Linked DNA regions of Caenorhabditis elegans. The protein of the gene in region 3 interacts with the protein of the main gene of each other region in a pairwise test. Each region holds a gene or a part of one and is shown on either strand. Other genes may lie near its edges. The genes, in order: smo-1, T04C9.1, figl-1 and itsn-1.

Region 1 (2,920 bases), on a different chromosome or scaffold from region 3:
TCCCACGGGAGTAAATTTTTCGGAAAAATCGATAATTTTTTGAGTTTTGAGCTGTTAAAGCATGCAAAATGCCGAAATTTTATCGAAAAGTAGAAAAATTAGCCCCGCGGAGCTGGAAAATCCAGAAAACCTCAATTTTTCCGAATTTTCACGTAAAAATCGATATCTTCCAGGCAATCACCATCGAACCCGGCTGCTATTTCATTGATTTCCTGCTCAACGAGGCGCTCGCCGACCCGAAAAAGAGCGAATTCCTCGTCAAATCCGAAATCGACAAGTACCGCGGATCAGGCGGCGTCCGTATCGAGGATGACGTCATCATTCGTGCTTCTGGTAACGAGAATCTGAGCGATCTTCCACGAACCGTCGAGGAGATCGAGAACTTCATGGCTAGTGGAGGCGAATGGACGGAGAAGGTCATCGAATCTCGTGTCTCTGATTTCTTGTCCAAGTGATTTTTTGTCTACTGATTCTAATTTATCATCATTCCTACTACTATTACTGTGTTATTTTTTCATGTAAAATAAAATTTAATTTTTAAAAATTTGGGATTTTCCGAAAACGAAGAGTTTATTTGTAAGATAAATAAGTTATTTTAAACTTTTTTGGTTGTATAATATGATTCGAAATGTGGAAAATAGATTAAATGAGACAGAGAAACCGAGTATCTCAGTGGAAAAGGGATGGATGGGTGTTTGTTTTCGGATTAGAGTGTAGGTAGAGGACTAGAATCCGCCCAGCTGCTCTTGGTAGACCTCGATGACGTCATCGTCCTCCATCTCGAGCGTCTTCGGTGTGTCATCGTCGTTGATGCGACGTCCGTCGAAGAGGAAACTGCAAATATTTAAAGTTGATAGGAATTGGCGCGGATTTCCAAAACTCACCGAAGACTGTTGACGGCGACACCGGTTCTGTCAGCGTACGACTTCTTCAGCTTGGCCATAGAGGTTCCATACTTTACACGGAAGTGCACTTCGTTGCTGTCCTGCAATTTTTTTGGGAATTATTAACAAATTCGCGGCGAATTTCCAGTCAAATTACCTGTCCAACGACCTTGATCTTGATGTATTCGGCGTTGTCGCCTGCTTGAGCTGCATCATCGGCCATCGTTTATAGCGGGAGTCTCTGAAACGAAATTAGATTTGAAAAGAGAAAAAGAGATAGAAGGAGAGAGGTAGAGTTGCTATGGAGAATGCAACTCACACGAGTGAAAGGTATTAAGAGTGCAGAATGATGACTTTCTAGGGTATTTATATAGACGCTGTAACAAATAAAATCGATAATTACAGAACAGCTGGCTGAGCCACAAGATGCTTGAAAAATTAGGAATATCGATTGTCTGGGGAGCGCTGCGCTGAGAATTTCAAGAATATCACTGCGAAATTCAGAAAAAAAACCCATTTTTCTCAAGGAAATCCTTTTTTTTAGGATATCCAGTTCCTATCAAGTTTTCTACGTGGTTTTTCAGCGAAATTGACGAAATTTAGAAGCAAAACTTAATTAAACGCATCGCGACCGGAGAAAGAAGGCAAAAATAAATGAAAACACACGAAATGAGCCGAAAAATCGGGCAATACGCGCCTAAAAACCTTTTCGAAATGATTTCCCGCGTTGCAGAGTGTGCATGTTCACGCCGCGGTGTTTGCACACAATGCACCGCATTTCACGAGCAACACGAGGGTACGGTAGATTTTGGACAGGTTTTTGACCAAATTTGGTGCTTTTTGGACTGAAAAAATAAGAGATTTCGGCCTAAAATAGATAAATTGGTGAATTATTTGAGTTTTCAACGAAAAAAATGTTTTGAACAAGTTTTCGGAACAAAATTCAAGGTTTTCGCTTGGTTTTTGAGGAAAAACTCTAAAAATACCGTTTTCCAATATGTAACAAGGCAAACTGGATTTTAAAATATAATTTTAAGCTAAAAACTACAAAAACAATTGTTAATGAGCATTTTAGGCCAAAAAGCGATCGATTTAATTCGCGCGGTATCGTCAGGTCTCATCGTGAAATTGCAAGCGCGCTCTAATGTGAATATCGATTTTTCTTTATTAAAAATATATTCAAATTTAATGCTTTATACATATTTATGAAATCAATTAAGAACAGCAATTTCCAGTGTTTTCGACCTCCTTAACCGTCATCAACGGGCCAACGAAGAAATATCCGATGGCGTGGCCTAAAATTTACGAATTTTAAGCTTTTCTTCTAAAAATTCAAAAAAAAAAAAAAATAAATAAAACCTGCTAAAAGCGAGAAAAATAGCGGATAATTATATGTCATTGCTACCAGCATCAACGAATAATCCACAAAATTTTGAAGAAAAAATAGAAAAGAAGACGCAAAATGTCTCCAACTTGAGATGGATTCCATTGTAAATCTGCAATTTATCACCTTTTTTCGGAATTTCGTATCCTGGAATATTTTAAGCCAACTCACGGAGCCAACGATGCCAGTTTGCCACGTGGCGACGGCTCAGGCTCTTCCGGAATCTCCCAAATGCCTTCAGGCGTTGAGCAACAGCAATCGACGGCCTACAATTTTTTTTTTGGAATTCAGGAATTCCCGAAAAATAAAACACGGGTTTCTGGCTTCCCTCATAATTTGAAATGGAAGAGTTTTTGCCGAATTAGGCCATTTTGGCTCGGCCATATCTGGCGGCGCGTAGCGGCTCAATTTTAGTTGAAAAACTAAATGTGATTTGTCCGTGTGGAGTACACGACTTTCCCGTCCGGCAGGCGATTGTCAATGGAGCGCGAAAAATTCAATGAGGAAGGCCAGAACCCCCGTGATAAAATTTTAACAAAAAATCACCAATTTTTCCTTCACAGTTCTCGTCATTCTTTGCCTTCCGAATTTCAGCAATTCCAGGCAAAACGCGATGAAAAATAGGGAAATACAGGAGAAAACGTAGCCTGTG
Region 2 (4,695 bases), on a different chromosome or scaffold from region 3:
TTTTCGCGGTCCCATCTCTTCCGCTTGTGACGTCGTCAACTTCTTCTTCTTCCCCTACTTCTTCCTCCGTCGCCGCTGTCGTCGTTTTTCTTTCCTCTTCATAATCGCTTTCCGTCGACCACTCGAATATTCTGACGTTCGCCGTGCCGCGACTCATCCGTTCGTTTCTATGATTCGAATTTTTTGAGAAAAACTAGAAAGCGTTGATATTGTCAAGTGTTTCGTTTTAGGATATATTCTAAAGACGAAAGGACGGATGCAAGTGTGTGTATGTATTTGTGCCATTGCAATGACGAGAGCGGAGCAAAGAAAATGACGAAGAAGAAGAAGCAGTCCTTCTCTTCGCTCATTCTTCTACTGCTCGTTCTTCCCATATATACTCATTCCCCCCGGAGAATTGTTCTTTTCCGCATTGCTGCTTCCCGTTGCCGCTGTCGTCGTCCGCCTTTCCTTTCGATTCGAATCGGATCGACAAGTTCCAGACGGCAAGAGTCATCCCTTCCATCCATAAACGCCATCACTGTCGTCGTCGTCGTCGCCTTCTTCTTTGAAAAAATGAGAAAAGCTAGAAAAAATGACGAATTGTGTTGGAGTCCTCGTCCTTCTCCTCTGCCTCTCCTTCTTTGGCGATGGCACACAACAGCATGGCCACAACACAAATAACGCGATAACTTTGTTTCGGCTCCTATACAAATTTGGTTATTTTTGTTGGTCGCTCCAACATTTTTTTCGTCCTCATCCGAGCCATGACTTCTCTTCTCCTTTTCCTCTATTTCGTCTCAAACTTCCGTTCTTTTTTACCTAATCATCATTATTAGCCCCATCCTTATCATCTTCTGGAACCCACATCGTCATCTTCGGTTTCTTTCTTTTTGAGGCACAAGCAACAACTACTTTTCTCGCATCTTCTCTCCTCCAGCTTCTCTTCTTTATGAGCCGGGTTAGGGGCTCTTCGAAAATTGTTTCCACTCGGCTGCCTTCGTGTTTTCGACGTGCCCGAACTTGCTCAAAACCGAAGCTCACGCATCGTTAGGTAACGAAAGAATTACACGTAGGAGGGACGCACTGCCGTTTGATTCTTATCTGTCATCGTCAGGATTGTTGCAACCTCTTCAATCCTCCGGATGTGCGTTGATTCCCGCACGATTAGACAATTTGTTGTGAAGGTGTACGCTATGTTTTGTCGTAAAATAGGTCACACTTGGAAGTTTTATTTTGGCAGCTTCATAATTATTCTAATTTATGATGTGATGGATTTTCTTTTTATATTTCATTTATCTGATTACCTTTCTCATTTTCCATATCAATTCTTGCTCGGTTCATCAGCTAATTCCATTGGTAGTGTCAGAATTCATGTAGCAGATAGATAGATACTCATAGATATTCCTTCGTCGCCTCAAGTATCAAGTTTCTTGCTTCTTTTTCTTCTTCTTCTTCTCTTCGCTTGTCCATATCCCCCGCGAGTTCTTCTTTCCTTTTCTTTTAATTGTTTACTTCTTCTCCTCATTCTACTCATCTTTTCCTTCATGTTTCAGAAAAAATTGTGGTATTTTGAGACAATTTTTTCTTTTCATTTCTCTATGTTTGCCTATCACTGAGGCTTTTTCTCTTGAAAATCTCTGCAAATCATTCCAATCAAAAATAATTTCAGGACACCTTGTCCAGTAGACAAAACCCGTCTACTTAGGACTCTGCGCTCATCACAAATGGTGTTACGGGCGCTCGAGTTTTCGGACTCGATATCCGATTCTCCGTGGTTTCGACAAAATTTGCATGATCACGAAGTGGCACTGGACGACGCTTTCAAGAACATCAAGCTCATTGAGAATCAGTGCAAGGAGCTGATTGCGTGCACAAAAAGTATGTGGCTTTTCTCTCTTTTTGACCCTTTACTTTTCCATTTAATCGCGTGGAATTTATAATTATTTTTATTGCAGAGCTTTCAACAGCACAACGAGCATTCGCAAAGACGTTAAGTGAATTCAAGTTTGAAACAGTCGGAACAAATCAGACAGATGATGAACGGTTTATTGGTGAGACTTTTGTTTAGCAAAAATTTATATAAAAAAATACGCGATGTTAAAAAAAAAAGTACAAAACATTTTTATTTTAAAAAAATTTCGCAGTAAAAAAATTAATTTCGGAATTTTATTATCCAGCCAAGAAAAATCGAAATTTGCTGAAAACATGTTTTTAAATGTTTTAAAATTATTAAATTTCAATTTTTTTTAATTTACCATAGTTAAAAAAAAATTTTAAACATTTTTAGGAATAGCAAAAAAGAGTATTTTGCCGTAGCAACCGTTCATTTTTGCCAAATTTTTCAAAGTCATATTTTTTACAATAAAAAAATAGTGTTGAACTCTCTTTTAAAATTTTTTTAATTGTCTCGAATTTCAATATTCCAACAAAGACCTTCGAAATCTGAATTGTTCGTGAAATTTTGAAATTTTTATAAGTTTCCTTCAATAAAAAAATTCGTTTCAGTTTTTTCTCCCAAAAAATCTATCGAAAGTTAACAAAATCCAAATTGCAAGTGATTCTCATTGTAATTTACCAAAATGCTTAATTTTCATAAATATTTTTATTGTCTTTGAAATAATATTTCACATTTTCAGCCACATGTCTAAAAGAATTCGGAAGTCTGATCAATCAAGTCGAAGATGAACGAATGAAACTTGTTGGACAAGCTGAAGAAAGTTATTTGGAACCAATAAAAAAGTTTCGAACTGAGGCGATTGGTAGAACATTGAAAGAGGAAAAGAATAAATATGACAAAGAAAGTAGCAAGTTCTATCAAACACTTGAAAAACATCTTCATCTGAGTACTGTTCGTAATAACGATTTTCGAGCCGCTGATGCCCAATTGGAGACTCAACAGAAAAACTTTTTTCAAGCTTCGTTACAGGTTTGAGTTTATAAAGTTGTCTTCAAATTATAAAATTGGAAAAAATTTGTGTTTTAATTTTCAGAATTAATGAAATTTTGGCCATTTTCTATTTTTAGACTAAAATTTCTTTCTAAATTTTTTTTTGGAAAATCGAAGGAATTTTGGTTTTTCGAATTAAAAAAAATCAACAAAAAAAATTTTTTTTCTGAAATATTGCGAATTTAAAATTTCTTTCAAAAAAAAAAAAACTTTCTGCCTTTTCAGAATTTAAAAAAATCAAAAGTTTTCGTTTTTAGTTTTTCTAAATAGTGTAATTCAAGTTTTTAAGAATTTGCCGTTGGAAATAGTACAATATAAATTGCTATTTTCAGTTAAAAAGTATATTCAACATAATTTCTCAAAAATAAAAAATAAAAAAAATTTACAGTATGTGGCAGAAGTTCAATCAGTTCAAGAACGAATGCGGTTCGAGTTTGTCGAAACATTAGGATCTTATGTTTATTCGTGGCTTTCATTTTTTCATGTTGGTAAGTATTTGTACAGGTAAAAAAAAGTTTCTGAATGATTATACAAATTTTATAAATTTGAATATTTTTCACAAAAAAAAATAGAAATTACTTGAAAAATCAGATTTTCGACAACTTTGTCTCGATTATAATTTTGAAAATAAAACTAACTATTTTAAATCACAAACTTTTCTATTTCACTTACAGAAATTCGGATTTCATGTAAAATTTCGACCAGAATGAAAAAAAAATTAAAAATTAAACAAAAATATATTTTTTCATTTTTTTTCTATAAATTATCGAAATATCATCGAAAATGAAGAAAAAAAAATCAAACTACTCACAAAAAGGCATTATTATTTTTAAATTTGGTTTCCAGACACATCATTTTTTTTTGCATTTTTCTAAAACTTTTTCCTGTTTCAGGTAGTGTGATTCATCAAGATTTCAAACCATTCCTTGACAATGTACAAACAAAAGTTCAAAAGGTTAGTTTAAAAAACTCTCCCCGTCAGATCGAAATTTTATCGAATTTCAGACAAAGGAAAATTATAATGCAACGAATGCTGAGGCAGAAGAGCTTAAGAAAAAACTGTTGGCTTCTCATACAAAAGTAAGTTTTTTCATACTTTGGAATTTCATATTCATCGCAAATTTTTATTGAAATTACAGCCGGGTTCTGAAGATCGACGACCGACGCCATCAATTAAACAAGGATACGTGTATATGCAGGAAAAGAGCAAAATTCCGAGTAAGTTTCTATATACAAAATTTGGTTTATTAAAAAAATTCAAAATGAAAAAATGCATCTGAAAGTTCTCGATTTTAGAAAAAATCAACCAGAAAATTATTATTTTATGAATAAAATATTCGGTTTTCACAAAATGAGAGCCTCTTTTAAAAATTAAAATTTTTCGTTCGATTTTGTTATTTTTTATAAAAATCTAACTAATATTTTCAAAAAATAAATTACCAGTTTCAATTGTGAAAATCTTTTCCAAAAATTATTTTCAATTTTTCAATTGGCCTGAAATTTGAAAATTTCACTAAAAAAATTACTGAAATGTGGTTTTAAATTTAGAAAAAAATAAAATGATAGTAAAGAAAACAAGAGACTTAACAGTTTTGTAGCGTTACAGTAACCACTTTGAAAGATAATTCACAATTAATTTTGCAAAATTAGGACAAAAATTTTCGATGATAAAAAAATTAATTTTAAGACTTTTGAAAGTCGATAATTATAAATCGCTATAAGAATACAAAATCGTGATTTTTTCAAAATAATTACAATTTCTTCAA
Region 3 (6,943 bases):
GGTATTTTAACGAAAAAATGATTTCAAAATGTGGTTTTCAGTGGTTTTTAACGTTTTTCAATGACTTTTTTCCTAAAAAAAAGTTCAGAATAAATCGAAACTTTTCTTTGTTTTTTTTCACAAATTTCAATTTCTTGTTTTTTCGTTGCTCACTTACACTAAAAAATACAAGCGTCGGCGCAGCAGTAATCTTGAAATTCAACGAAATTCCGGGCAAAGCTTCAGCGTCAATGAAGGCGGCACGAAGCGGCAGAGCAATTTCAGCGAGCAAATCATCCAGTAGCTGATTAACTTGCTCACAGCTTGGAGCCCACGATGCGTAGAAATGAAGAACAGCTGGAGATGGTTCCTTAATGAACGCAGCAACCTCCTCTCCTGACTTGATTTCTTGAATTGGCATTCTGGAATTTTTTGGCTGGCAATGGTAAAAAGCTAGAAATTTGAATAAAAAAATTAAAAAAATATACGAGAAAGGTAAAATAAACCTTGAAATTTCAATAATGAATAATGAAAAATATGTTTAAAAATTGAAAATATATAATAATTTTCAGAAAAAATATAAAAAAAAACAATGAAATACGGATCGTTTTGAGATCATAATATAGAAAAGAGATGGAATGCATAATACAGGAGAAGATTTCAATGAAAATAAAAATAAATAAATAGAAGAAGTGGATGGAATTATAGTACACATATTCGACAGCTCAATTCTGAAGGTCTCAACGGGATATTGAAGGAGGTGGAAGGCAACCGAATTTTTTGTCCCAAGCCGCGTAGGCATCCAATTGAGAATCGTCGACTGTTGGCCGAACGACACGAGCTGCTTCGGCGAAATCCATTACAGTAACGGCACGAATCTGAAATTTTCATCGATTAGTTGATTAAAACCGGAGCATTTGATGTTTCAGAGCTCGAGTGTTTATCTAATTTTTATGATGACCGAGTGCAAAAATAGAAAATAAATGTGACAATTCGTACGGCAAATGGTAAATAAAAAATAATAAGATTCGTCAGTCATGTGAGAGAGTTGCGAAATTGTTTGTTGTTGTGGCATGACATTTCATAAATTTTCGAAAAGTGTTCATTTTCGGAACATGGAGGTGTTTTATTATGTGGACGGAGGAAAATGAGATTTTTTAAATTGAGGTGCAATCGCGCTCTAACGCTAAACATTGGGTCTCGTTATGTATAAGAGGAACATTAAATTTATATAATGCGTATTGTGCAACATATTTGACGCGCAAAATATCTCATAGCGAAAACTACAGTAACTCTCTAAATGTCTAATGTAACTCTTGTGTCGATTTACGAGATTCATTGTTTCGAAAATCGTACCCGTAAATCGACACACGCGCTACAGTAGTCATTTAAAGAATCACTGTAGTTTTCGCTACGAGATATTTTGCTCGTCGAATATGTCGTGCAGTACGCATTCTCCGAATTCAGTGTTACCGTAATATTGGCGGCAAATTCAAGTTTTTAATTCGATTTTACTGAAATCATCCGTTTATATGCATTTTTTGATTTATTTTCAGTTGCTTTCTGGTTTTCATGCCGAAATGATTCTTGAAAATGCACGTGAAGCTTCGATATTAACGCATAATCAAAAGCAATGGGATTTTTTTTCTTCCTAACGAGACCCAGCATTATGAGGCGGGGCAATTTCAATTGGCCGTGGAGCGCGATTACACCGATCACAAGTGTTTGATATTAATTCAGAATCCTCACATCATCCTTATCAATCGTCTCAATATCGTCTCCAATGTCTCTGATAGGACCCATCGCTGCTTCAGTGCACAATTGCCTCATGTCAGCTCCAGAATAGCCGTCTGTAAGCTCTCTAATCCGCTCCAAATTATGATTTGTGATATCATGACGCGTGCCTACAAGTAGATTCTGCACAATTTGTGTGCGCGACTCTGGCTCCGGAAGCGCAATGTACAGTCGCTTCTGGAAGCGTCGACGAGCAGCTTCATCCAACTCTTGTGGCCGATTTGTGGCACCCAATACAAGAAGCCGTTCATCTGGAGCCGTATTCACACCATCCAACTGTACCAGGAACTCTGTCTTGATGCGCCGTGAAGATTCGTGTTCCGATTCCGACCGGGATGATAGTAACGAGTCGATCTCATCGATGAAGATAACACTCGGAAGTTTCAGACGAGCAACTGAGAACAGAGCACGAACAAGCTTTTCACCTTCTCCAACCCATTTTGAGGTTAACGACGATGCTGAAATATTGAAGAAAGTGGCTTTGCACTGGGAAGCGACACATCTCCCGATCATTGTTTTTCCGGTTCCTGGTGGTCCGAATAGAAGAACACCTTTCGGTGGAGCACGGATTCCGGTGAAGACGTCACTGAAAAAAATTATAATTGTCAATTAAATTTTTGGAGGATTTTTTAAATTGCTTTATTAGACTCAAAATTGTCTGAAAACACCGAATTTTATAATGAAACTTCTTGAAAAATTCTCAAAAAAAAGTTATGACGGCTCAAAAAATGGCTTAAAATTAGTTAAAATTTGAAATTTGACTTGTCAGCGGATGGAAACAATTTTTTTGAAATCACCGTAAAATTTTGAGTATACAGGTCAATTATCTTGCGTTTTCAACTCGATTTAGGTATTTTAAAGTCGATGGACGGCGAGATTAAAATTGTTTTTTTTTACCAAATCTCGCCGTCCATCGACTTTAAAATACCTAAGTGAAGTTGAAAACGCAAGATAATTACATTACATACTCAAAATTTGACGGTGATTTAAAAAAAATTGTTTCCAGCCGCTGCGACATTGACAAGTCGGTCAAATTTCAAATGTTAACTAATTTTAGGACATTTTTTAAGCCTTCATAACTTTTTTTTGAGAAGTTTCCAAGTAGTTTCATCATAAAATTCGGTGTTTTCAGATAATTTTGAGTCTAATAATGCAATAAAAAATTCGACTACACCACCTTTAAAGGAGGTTTTTTTGCGTGTATAGACTAAAAGCACAAAATAAGCGTTCAAAACCTCGTAAAAATAGCTAATTTTATCTAAAATCTCGAATTTCGTCTATTTTTCCTGTCCGCATCAGCTGAAACACTATTTTATTGAATTATCATCCTTTTTAGCATCTTTTGGTGGTTTATATCACATTTTTTCGTCAATTTAGGTTCATTTAAGTCGATAAAAAATTAAACAATTAAATTAAAAACACCTATCGGCTTTAAGTGTACCTACGTCAACAAAATAATGTGAAATAAACCACCAAAAAAAGTGGAAAAGTTGACAAAAAACGAGATTTTAACCAATTTCAGCCATTTTTGAGCACTTTATGAGTCTGAGCAAGCTAAAAACCCGAAAAACCCTTTTTTTCTCCTTTCAGAACGTACGGTCTTTTAAATGGCAGTACAACAATCTCCCGTAATGCTTTTTTCGCTCCTTCCAATCCAGCAACATCAGCCCATCCGATCTCATTGTTCACAGACATAATTTCCGATTCAATCAATGAAATGATATTTTCATCAAAGTGCTTTAGCGTTGGCTCAGCTCTCAATCCACTCATTTTTTCATCTTTTCCACCTCCTTCCGTATCCATTCCCATCGCCTTTCTGATGAGCGGATTGGAGCATCGTTTCGGGATATCCGGTGCTCTTCTGGCCGGTGGTATCCCTGCCAAGCTTCCAATCGATTGGGAACTGGATTGACGATCCAGAGGCACTTGGAACTTGCTATTCTGTGGATCCTGGCCGGCTGCAGTCGTAAATGATGGATAGAGGGTTCCGAGGGTATTTTGGATAGCTGCTCGGTTTTTCGTAGGTGCTCTGAAACGACGCTTTCATTTTTAAAAAAATCGATTAATATTACGGGAACACAAAATTCTGAGAATGCGTACTGCGCAACATATTCGACGCGCAAAATATTCTTTTTATGACTACTGTAGCGCTTGTGTCGATTTACGGGGGCTCGATTCTCGGAAAAAAAACAAAATTTTCGAATTTTGACAGCGATACTCAATTTTTCTTCGTTTTTTTTTCGAATACCATGGTCATTTTTGTGCTTATTTTTAATATTTTATCTATTAATAAATTACTTTAATTGCAAAAAACTCCAATTTTGGCGTTTTTTTGATGAGTAAGCTCATACAGGCGTATTTTTATATTATTTCCCGCCTATTACGGCAATAAACGGGAAATAGTGTTAAAAAAACGCTTGTGGAGTATTAGAGTATTATCATCAAAATGACGCGAATATTGGAGTTTTTTCAATTAAAATAATTTATTAATGGAAAAAAAATATTAAAAATAAGCACAAAAATGATAAAGGAATAGGAAAAAAACGAAGAAAAATTGAATATCGCTATCAAAATTCGAAAAATGTGTCTTTTTCCGAGAATCAAGCCCGTAAATCGACACAAGCGCTTCATTTAAAGAATTACTGTAGTTTTCTTTTTCGCTACGAGATATCTTGCGCGTCAAATATGTTGTGAAATACGCATTCTCAGAATTTCGTGATCTCTTAACGAACCTGGTCTTCTTAAAGTGCGGATTTGAAGCCACCTCGATGCCTTTCAGCGTATTTTCATGCATTTGCCGAATAAAATTCGGATCAGTTCTTCTAGCATTTGTAGGATCCACTATATCGCAGATTTTGTCTCTGATTTTCGTCACTTTATCGTCGCTTCCAAAATCGAAGCCTCGCATTGTGAACGGCTCTTCTCGGCGTTTTTCCTCCTTTGGTTTCGGAATTTCGCCAAGTTTGAAGCTGCTTTTCTCGCCAAGAAACGGTCGACTTTTGAGCTTCCGGGTGTCTTGTTTTTGTGAAAACGACACATCAACGGTTCTATCTTCGTCTTCATCAATTATTATCCCGTCTAGCTCGTCATCCAGACCATTTTGTTGAGAACGAGATTTGAATGGAGGCTGCTGCTGAGCTGAATCCGAAGGTGTCTCCACGACTATTTTTCGACGGGGTTTTCCGATAAAATACGGACTAATCCCATTGCGAGCAAGAGCCGTCGGTGGGTAAAGATCATCGTTATTTTCGCCGGTTTCGGGCCGTTTTCTCATTCCACTGGTCACATTGAGTTTTACCCGTTTTGGAGAATACATAATCTGAAAATAGTGTTTTTTGACCTGAAAACCCCCACAAAAAAATATTCAAAAAGACTGGGGTAACTTGAACAACTTAAAGGCAAAGGAATAATTGAGCTTAAAATTTATATCGTCTAATAAAATAAATCATAAACAATCGGAAGTGAGAGAAGAAAGGTATGGAATGTATCCAAATGGAATTATTCGAATACTGTTGTGCGATCATTTGTCTACTTTTGCTGCTTTCCATTTTCCCATGTGGTGATCTGAAAAATTCGTGTTAAAACTTGAATAATAAGGCGTATTTAATCACCTTGAGAGTTGCCTCTGGCTTCTTAACAGCGGCCTTTCCTCCGACTTGCTTGGTGCACTTGCGGGTGATCTCGGCAGCGATTTGCGAGTAACGCACGTAGTTGAGTCCAGCGGCTCTCCAGGCGACCATTTTCTGAAAAACATGAATAAAAAAGAAATATTGGAAAAAAGCGACTAATTTTGCACAAGAAAACAAAGAAAAACCGCAATTTTACTAATGAAATCTATCGATTTTAGCAATTAGAAAAGCTATTTTACAATTTGCGATTAAAAAACATTAATTTCATCTAAAAACAGCCAAAAATCAATGAAAAATCACAATTCTACTCTTGAAACAAAAAATGTGTCGTTTCTGCAGCAATTTATCGATTTTCGAAATTATAAAAGCTATTTTACAATTTGCGATTAAAATGTACATTAATCCCATCTAAAAACTAACAAAAAACCAAGAAAAACCACAATTTTACTGATGAGACAAAAAAAAACATTTTTTCTCAGAATTGCCTGTCGTTTCTGCAGCAATTTATCGATTTTAGCAATTATTTTACCAATTTTAATTAAAATAAACATTAATTCCATCTAAAAACAACCAAAAATCAATGAAAAAACGAACAATTTTCTTTAAAAACAGCTAAAAATGGCACAGTCCATGTCGGAAAAATATAAGTTAAAGGCGCATAGACTTTCGCACTCTGGTGGGTCTCGCAACGACATGAAGGAGGCAAACGCGCGAAATTCGAACGGACGACGCTGCCATCTGCCGCACATTCCTTCACTCTCTCGCTCATTTATTATCGGTTTTGTGCTACAAGAGCAGCTTTTTTCGCGATTTTTTCAGTTTTTCCAATTAAAAAATAAAATTTCCATCATTTCAGCCCGGCTCTATAATCCTATAATCTCACTCACCATGAAAACCACCACTTACAACACAGACTGGGCTGCCGAGAAGACGAAAATTCGCAGTTTCTTCGACGAATACTATGTGGACAATGAGGACGGATCTGGAAAGGTATTCCCGAATTTGGTGTATAAATGAGTATTTAAATTCAACTTTTAGGCATTCCCATATCGTGATCAAGTCTTTGAAATTGCTCGCCGCGACAAGCAGGCAATCGTTGTGAATGTTGACCATATTAAGGAATCTGATATTCCAGATGCTCTTGAACTCTCAGAAGCCATTACTTCCAATACAAAGAGATACGAAGTCCTGTTCAAGGACACAATTTCGGATATGATCCAGGACTATCTCGGAGACAAGCAAGCGCCAGTAATCGATGCTCTTGATGCCTACATGTTCCAGCGTCTTCATATGGATAGGAACGAGGGAGCCGCCAACGAGGAAGTTTCTCTTCAGGACAAACGCAAGAAATACCCACCACAGCTCCTTCAACGCTTCGAGGTCTACTTCACAACGGACGATGCCGCCCATGAAACGTGTGTCCGAAACATCAAAGCCACCGAGATCGGGCACTTGGTCTCCATGAAGGGAGTTGTTATCCGTGCGACCGAGGTGAAACCTTGTGTTGAAGTCATGACCTACACTTGCGATACTTGTGCCGC
Region 4 (7,595 bases), on a different chromosome or scaffold from region 3:
CATTTCGAATCAGCTCGCCTTCCCACCAGCCGGCTGCTGATTTTTCACGAATTTTCACAATTTCGCCAACTTTGATTCCCAATTGATTTGGCGCCGATGCAACAAAATCCACGACAACTTTAGCTTCACAGAGGACGGTTGGTGGAGCCGCTGGAGTTGGAGCTTGAGTTGGTGGAGTCGGATCCCCTGCCTGCTGGACTGATATCTCGACATAGTTGGCTGGGAAGATACCCTCACGTCCGTTGCAACGCCCTTTCCACCATTCATCGTTTCTGAAATTATTTTTTGATTTAAATCACTGAAAATTGATATTTTTGTTTTGGTGTCAGTTTTTCAGTTTTTAAGTAATTTTTTTTTGGCTAAAAAACAAGTTTTTTGGGTTTTTGGGGTTTTTTTTAATATGAAGTTTTTTTGGAAAAAAAAGAGTATTTCGGTTTTTTTTTGCAAAAATTGGATTTTGTCGGGCTTTTTTTTAATTTTGTGGAGAAATTAATTTTTTTGAGAAAATATGCTTTTTTTGGTTTTTAAATTTAATTTTTTTTCGGTAAAAATTGTGTTTTTTGGAAATTGTTTTTTTTTCAGGGTTTTTTTTGACGAAAATGACACATTTTTGGCAAAAGTAAGAAAAATTGTGCCTTTTTTGAAAAAATAGCTTTTTAGGTTTTTTTAATGTTAAAAATGACACTTTTGGATTTTTTCTGAAAAAATCGGTTTAAAACAAAAAAAGTTTTATTGGTAAACATGACGCGTGTTTGGTTTTTTTTTTTGGCAAAACTGAGTTTTATGATTTTTTTTCTGGGGAAAAATGTATTTTTTAGCTGTTTTTGTTGCAAAAATGGAATTTTTTTGGTGTTTTTGGCAAAACGACACATTTTTGGATTTTTTTCTGACAAAAATTAGACTTTTTTGAAAAAAAAAAGGTTTTTTTGGACAAGAAATAGTTTTTTGAGGTTACTTTGCCAAAAATAGGGTTTTCCTTGCAAAATTGGAAACAATTATTTTAAAAATTTTGGGCTTATTTGGTTCAAAATGTAATAAATTGATACCCCGAAACCTTTCGTTTAAGCATAATAATAATAGCGCAAGAATACGAAAAGCTATCAAAAAAATGAAAAAATTCAATTCCAAATGAGCTCCTGTCAAGAGCAGCGAGAGCTCCTCTCTCCACTTACTTCTCGAGCACTAGAATTGTGTCACCGACATGCAGTGCCAAATCTGTTGTCTCGACAGCTTCAAAATCGTAGATCACAGTGTAAAGTTGTTGTTGGGGGGCTGTTTCGGAGGCTTGTAATGTCACATCGGAAGGTACCACGTCGTATTGAGCTCCTGCTGCTGCTCCTGGAGCTCCTGCAGAAGCCTTCGAAGGAGACACAATCGGAGTCGTGGTGCTGGTGGTTGCTCCGACTTCTTTCACATAACTTTTCGGGAACCATCCAATTTCGCCGGCAGGATTTCGACCTTTCCATTTCATTTCTTGCTTTTCTAGTACCTGAAATTAATGTTATTAGTTCGAGTTAAGGTGTACCTTCAAAAATCTAAAAAAAATAGTCTGAAATTCAAGAAAAATCGTGAAAAGAAGAAATGGGAATAAAATCCTAAATTTTTTTTCAAATTTTTGGAAAAATTCCCCAGAAACCACGCTCATTTTTTTGCTGAAAAATAGGTTTTTTTGGGGTAAAAAAGGTTTTTTTTGTTGAAAATTTGGGTTCCTTTGTTGATAAAAATGGGTTTTTTTTTGGTAGAAAACAGGTTTTTTTTTAGAAAAAAGAGTTATTATGGGGAAAATGGTTTTTTTTGGGAAAAAAGGTTATTTTATAAATCATACAATTTAGCTGAAAGATAGATTAAAAATCGATTTTTTCACCGAAAATCCAATTTTTTTTTCAAAAATTCGTCAAAATCACATTTTCAAGCTGTTTTTGCAGGAAAATAGGCTGAAAACTCCTAAGAATTGGCTTAAAACTTCAAATTTTTCAAATTTTCTGCCGGAAAACTTGTAAAATCTCATTTTTTTCAGGTTCAAGCTCAAGAATTTCAGACAATTTTTGGATTTTTCGCAGCAAAATGCTCTCCACCTCAATTGTATCTCCTTTTGCAAATGACAAATCCTCCTCATTACGTGCTCTCCATTGGAATTGTGCAATACATTGAGATATTACTGCTGCTGCTGCTGGAGCACTTGAAGCAGGTGGAGCACCACCTTCTGTCAATCCCATTGCCGCTGCGATTTCCGCTTTCCGCGCCGCTTTCACTCCAATTTGATCTACTGATGAGCTCGGCGTCATGTTTGGTGGCATATTCTGAATAGGTGGATCACCGCCTGGAGTAGGTACTGCTGCGATTGCTTCGACGAATGCTTCTGGGAACCATCCGACTTTCTCACGAAGTTGACCGGCACGCCATCCTGGTTCAGCTGCATGGGATTGGAAGACGATTATGACGTCTCCTAGAAGAAAAATAAATAAAAATTAACTTTTTCTCGAATTTTTGCCTTTTTTTTGTCAAAAATGACACTTTTTGTTAAGTTTTTTCTGACAAAAATTGGTATTTTTTGGGAAAAAAAGGGTTTTTTTTTCACAAAAACGGGGTTTTTAGGTAAACATTGATTAGTGATGGTTTTTTTTGTTGCCAAAAACGAAAAAATCCAAACTTTTTGAAAAATTTCAAAATTTTTTTGAAAAAACTGCGGAAAAATAGTTCTTTTTTCCAATAATTTTTCGTAAAAATTTAAAAATTCCTGAATTTTGGACGTTTTCTCCTACAAATTTCAAAATTTTTGGAATCATTTTCAGCTCAGTTTGAGAATTTTTGAGTAAAATTCCTTGATTTTAGTGGAATTTTGCAATTTTTCAGTTTTTTTTTTCGAAAAAATTCAAATTTTCTGAAATTTTTCACATCTTTTATGCATTTAATTTGTTTTCCATGCAACTATTTCAAAAATATTAAATAAGTCATTTTAAATGAGAGATAAGAATAAAAAAATTGAAATTTTCTTTTTTTTTGGCTTTTTTTCTGGAAAAACTCTTAAAAATTTTAGATAAATTCCTTGATTTTAGTGGAATTTTGCAATTTTTCAGATTTTTTTTTGGAAAAATTTAAAAATTCCTGAATTTTATGCCAAACTTTTTCTCCTACGAATTCCGAAATTTCGAGCTTTTTCCGGAGAAGCTCGTAAATCTACACAACAAAAGGCCATTTAAAGGGACATATTGCTGTTCGGACAGCACCTGGTTCAAAACTGAGCTCATCCTCGGATCTTGCTTCAAACGCAAAAAGAGCTCGACACTTATAAGTGTCATGAATATTGAACGCCGATTGATCAACAGCACCCTTCGAATGAGCTGGCGCCTGAGCAATCTGAGCAAATGGATCCGCTGTCGACGTGGCACCGAAATCCGCGTCGAAACGTTGACTTGCATCGGTTTTATCGAATTCTCCGAATGCATCGTTGAAGTTTGCAGGGAATCCGTTGGTGGTAGTAGGAGCTGGAGCAGGAGCAGGAGCTGGAGCAGCTGAAGCTGGAGCAGATTTCGCTTCAAATTCCCCAATTTTGCTCCTGGCATGTGTCTGAGCATGAACCAGAAGCTCAAACGAATTTCGATATTCTTCTCGTTTTGCGACAAGTTTCGAATAAACATCAGTCTTATACTTTTCCTTATTCGTCTTTAAAATCTCCGTCTGATTATACGATTTCTCTTTTTCTGTGGATAATTCCAGAGCGGCATCTTCTATAGCTTTTCGAATAGCATCTCGTTTCCTTCGCAGTGCTTCTAGTTCACTTTTTCTCTGCGTTGTCTCCTTGTGAGCCGACTGTTTTTGTAGAAGCTGATGGCCGAGTTCTTGAGATTCGATAGCTGTCTGGAACTTTTTTGGGTAATTTGCATATAGATTAAACGCGTATTACCTTCTGATTAGTCTCTTGTAATTCTTTAATTCTCGCGACTTTCTCGTCTCTCGTAGATCTCATTCTCTCAATAAATCCAGTCACTTCTGCTACTGCTTCTTTGGCTTTTCCAATGTCCACTTCAACATCGATAACCTTCTCATCAAGTGCTTGTAATTGAAATTGCAGCGTTTTTTCTCGTTGCTGACGTTGTGCAAGACGCTCGTTCTCTTGTTGCTTCTGGTTCTGAAATTAGGGATTTAAATTTGGTTTTTTTTTATCATGAGTAAATAAAATTTCTGTGTTCCAAAAGTTCAATTTTCAAAAGAAAAACTCAAAAAATCGCCTAGAATCCACATAAAAATTCCATTTTTTCTGTTCAGGCATCTGTACCTGCATCTGTTTAACTTTCGCCTTCTCCATTTGAACTTTTCTCATTTTCTCGTCCTCCTCTCTGCGTCTCTCCATCTCTAGCCTCCGCTTCTTCTCCTCTTCCTCCCGTTGAGCTTCAATTATTCTCTGTCTTTCTAGTTCAGCTTGCCGCTCAACTTCAGCCTGTCGTTCCTTTTCTTGTCTTTCTCTATTTTTCTTCGCTTCTTCTTCTCTCTCTTTCTTCTCTACTTCTGCTCGTCTTCGTTGCTCCTCTTCTTCAAGAACTCTACGTCGTCTCTCCAGTTCTGCCTGACCTTTAGATAGGTTATCCTGTCGCTTATCTTCAAAAGTTTTCGGAGCTGGTGACTTTTGTGGTGGCTCCGCTCCTGGTTCGAGTTCAGGGGTATTGTTGGCTGATCTTGATGAGATTCCGCACATCCGGACAAGTTCCAGCGGGGTTATTTTTGGAAGCGCGAATCCACTCTGAAAAAAAAATTTTTTTAAGTTTTTCAGCGGAAATTTTTATGGTGTTTCATGATTTTAGGGTATTTTCCGATTTTCGTACAGAAAAATTTGAAATTTTGAGATTTTTCAGCGTTTTAACATGAAATTTTGCTGAAAAAAACAAGCAAAACGTTGAAAAATCCTGTAAAATTCACTGAAAAACTATAATTCGTGAAGAAAATACAACCGTGCGGCAGTGTTGCGAAAACTCGCGCCGCATGTTGCAAAGTGGGAGGAGCGTCCACGTGGCTTGACTTTTTATTTTGAAATTCCAAGTTTTTGACAAATAAAATTGAAAATATTCCTTATTTTTGTTGAAAAAACATGAAAAATACAATATTTTCAGATGGAAAGAACCTTTTTCTACATTTTTATATCAATTTTAGATCAGAAAAGTTGGATTTTCATGGAAAAAGTGCAATTTTTGAATAAAGAGCTTCTGGCCGGTAACAAAACACATACTTTGAACATTTCAATCATATACTGAGAAATCGCATACTCATCCACTGATAGCTTTCCATCCTTATTCACATCTGACAAAAACCAGATATGCGCGAGAACATTGGTAGGAAGGCCTGAAAGCCCGAGAGCACTCCGTCCGACTTGTGAGCTCAGGGAGCCCAGACGTTCCTTGTCGAGAGCATTAAACAATTGAGAATATTTTAATTTATTGTGGTGAGGAATCGCCCAGTTTTCCAGCTGCCGGCCTTCGAAGACATTGCGATCATTATTCAAAGGGCTTCCAGCTGAAATCGAGTTGTGTCTGCTAGATGGAGTTCCGGCAATCGAAACCGGTGCAGATGGGATGTATGACTGCGACATTCGACGATCAATGGCCGGTGGAAGAGTTTGTGAGTAGTCTACACTGCCATGCCGGCTTCCAGGCCAGGTTGGTGGAGCATTTCTGGCGGGAACTACCAGCAGGGAAGGCGGAAGTTGCGGAGGAATCGGAATTCCGGCAAGACAATTCAGAGCAAGTCGCATCGCGATAGAGTATTCACGAATATCGAGCCGGCCGTCTTTATCCAAGTCTGACAGCGCCCAGATCTGGAAATTGTTTGAATAAAAACATTTTTTTTTTTAAAGTTTAATATCAACCTGAGAAAGCACTTGCGTTGGCAGATTGCTGCGCATTAGTGCATTTCGTGCAGTGACCGCATCCATAAACGGTTGTCCTCCGGTTAATTGGCCGAACATTGCGAAATTCTTCTGATATTCGGCATCGGAAACTTCCCAAGGATTTGTCATCTGGAGAACAGGGGATTTTTCGACAAAAAATGGGAATTTCGCAACAAAAAAGGGAAAAAACGAGCCATATTTTTCTAATTTAACTGGAAATTTATGCGAAGAATCAGCGAAAATGATGAAAAAACACATGTTTTTGGGCAAACAATAGATTTTTTTGAGCCGCTCCGCTCGCCAGCTGCGTCGCGGTCGTGGCCGTGGCCTAGGTTCCCTCTCGGCCATTTCTGTAAAAATTGGCCGCGGCGCGGCGCGGCCGGCGAGCGAGGCGGCTCAATAAAATGTAATTTTTTGGCTAAAATTCGTGATTTTTCCCTAATTTAGCTGGAAATTTCTATGTAAACTTCCCACGGATTTGTCAATTGGGGGTTTTTCGATTAAAAACGCTAAAAATGCGAATTTCGCAACAAAAAGAGAAAATGCGCCGAAATTTCTGTAAATTTGGATTCAGGAACTGAGAAATAAGAAGAAATAAGAAAGAGGCCAAGCGCCGCCGAAAGCTTATCGATTTTTGCGTGCCCCAAAAGAGGAGTGGTCCCCGAGAGCGCGCGGCGAGAGATGCAAGAGACGCAGAGAATTTTAAAGGAATCAAAAACCCCTTTTTTATATATTTAAAAAAATCAATGTTTTTTTTTTCATTTAAAACTTTGCATTTTAAGAACAAATTTTAGTTTTAGAGTGAAAAATCTCGTATTCTTGAGTTTTCTCCAAATAATTTTGAGCTCCAATTGATTTTTAAATGTTCTTTCAGCCTTGGTGCATGAATTAATCGGTATAATCGCGGAAAATTGAAGAGAAATTCACTTAAATTTCAACTTATTTATTAATCTCTGGTCATGGGAGAAAAAAAGAAAAATAGAGAAAACGCTAGAAAAACGCGCGCGCTCACCTTGCCGACGCTCGCCCCGCCCACAAAAGCGTGCCTCGTTGCGTTTTCGAATTTAGCAGGGCAGTTGGTTATTATTTCCATTTTCTATCTGTTTCAGGTTCGCAGTTTGTTTTTTGCATTGAATTCTTGATATTTTGAGTTTTACGTTGTATTCTGAAGTATTTCCGTCAGAATTTGTGTTTAAAAATCGTAATTCTCAGGGTTTTCCCGCTGAAATTGAATTTTTCGTCAAAAATCATTTTTTTTAGTGAATCCCAATGTCGTATGGTGACGGGCTCTCCGGAGCCGAGTACCTGGCCTCAATCTATGGTACTGAGAAGGATAAAGTCAATTGCTCGTTTTTCTTCAAGGTTTGTTGTGGATTTCTGTGAAAAAATTCAATAATTAAATAATTTTTGCAGACAGGAGCCTGCCGCCACGGAGACAAATGCTCCAGAGCCCATCATACACCGACATTCTCGCCAACAGTTGTGCTCAAAAACTTCTACCACAATCCGGTAGTGGATGTCCGTCAGGCGGATGCTTTCGATAAAGTCGGCAAGCGGAATGATCAGGAACAGCGCTATTTTGACGATTTCTACGAGGAGGTTTTTGTGGAGATGGAGCGAAAATATGGAGAAGTGGAGGAGATCAACGTTTGTGAGAATATCGGAGAACACATGGTCGGAAACGTATACGTCAAATTTATGAAGGAAGAGGACGCCG

What was found.
Region 1: the proteins of figl-1 (region 3) and smo-1 interact in a two-hybrid assay, tested with the Caenorhabditis elegans proteins (3 studies listed by BioGRID).
Region 2: the proteins of figl-1 (region 3) and T04C9.1 interact in a two-hybrid assay, tested with the Caenorhabditis elegans proteins (2 studies listed by BioGRID).
Region 4: the proteins of figl-1 (region 3) and itsn-1 interact in a two-hybrid assay, tested with the Caenorhabditis elegans proteins (2 studies listed by BioGRID).

What each region holds. Positions count from the first base shown.
Region 1 is NC_003279.8:1,338,890-1,341,809, reverse strand, and holds smo-1 (Small ubiquitin-related modifier), read right to left. Parts: upstream 1,133-2,920; 5' UTR 1,108-1,132; coding exon 1,042-1,107; intron 986-1,041; coding exon 885-985; intron 835-884; coding exon 726-834; 3' UTR 545-725; downstream 1-544. Other genes in the region: K12C11.1 (Xaa-Pro dipeptidase), read left to right, coding at 174-455; K12C11.7 (Copper transport protein), read right to left, coding at 2,100-2,179, 2,244-2,380, 2,440-2,534, 2,815-2,920. UniProt on the Caenorhabditis elegans protein: Ubiquitin-like protein which can be covalently attached to target lysines as a monomer. Does not seem to be involved in protein degradation and may function as an antagonist of ubiquitin in the degradation process.
Region 2 is NC_003281.10:5,991,568-5,996,262, forward strand, and holds the start of T04C9.1 (Rho GTPase-activating protein 26), read left to right. Parts: upstream 1-1,651; 5' UTR 1,652-1,706; coding exon 1,707-1,860; intron 1,861-1,937; coding exon 1,938-2,033; intron 2,034-2,618; coding exon 2,619-2,908; intron 2,909-3,317; coding exon 3,318-3,417; intron 3,418-3,822; coding exon 3,823-3,884; intron 3,885-3,934; coding exon 3,935-4,009; intron 4,010-4,068; coding exon 4,069-4,147; intron 4,148-4,695. Other genes in the region: T04C9.2 (uncharacterized protein), read left to right, coding at 313-663.
Region 3 is NC_003283.11:4,340,908-4,347,850, forward strand, and holds figl-1 (Fidgetin-like protein 1), read right to left. Parts: upstream 5,093-6,943; 5' UTR 5,090-5,092; coding exon 4,506-5,089; intron 3,803-4,505; coding exon 3,371-3,802; intron 2,360-3,370; coding exon 1,729-2,359; intron 858-1,728; coding exon 720-857; 3' UTR 524-719; downstream 1-523. Other genes in the region: glrx-3 (Glutaredoxin 3), read right to left, coding at 158-400; hpo-18 (ATP synthase subunit epsilon, mitochondrial), read right to left, coding at 5,302-5,337, 5,385-5,513; mcm-7 (DNA replication licensing factor MCM7), read left to right, coding at 6,291-6,392, 6,441-6,943. UniProt on the Caenorhabditis elegans protein: Has a role in spindle assembly which acts in the progression through mitosis during embryogenesis. Required for fertility.
Region 4 is NC_003282.8:17,118,096-17,125,690, reverse strand, and holds the start of itsn-1 (Intersectin-1), read right to left. Parts: upstream 6,010-7,595; 5' UTR 6,008-6,009; coding exon 5,858-6,007; intron 5,807-5,857; coding exon 5,222-5,806; intron 4,739-5,221; coding exon 4,277-4,738; intron 4,130-4,276; coding exon 3,905-4,129; intron 3,865-3,904; coding exon 3,228-3,864; intron 2,447-3,227; coding exon 2,076-2,446; intron 1,490-2,075; coding exon 1,173-1,489; intron 273-1,172; coding exon 1-272. Other genes in the region: uaf-2 (Splicing factor U2AF 35 kDa subunit), read left to right, coding at 7,148-7,240, 7,292-7,595.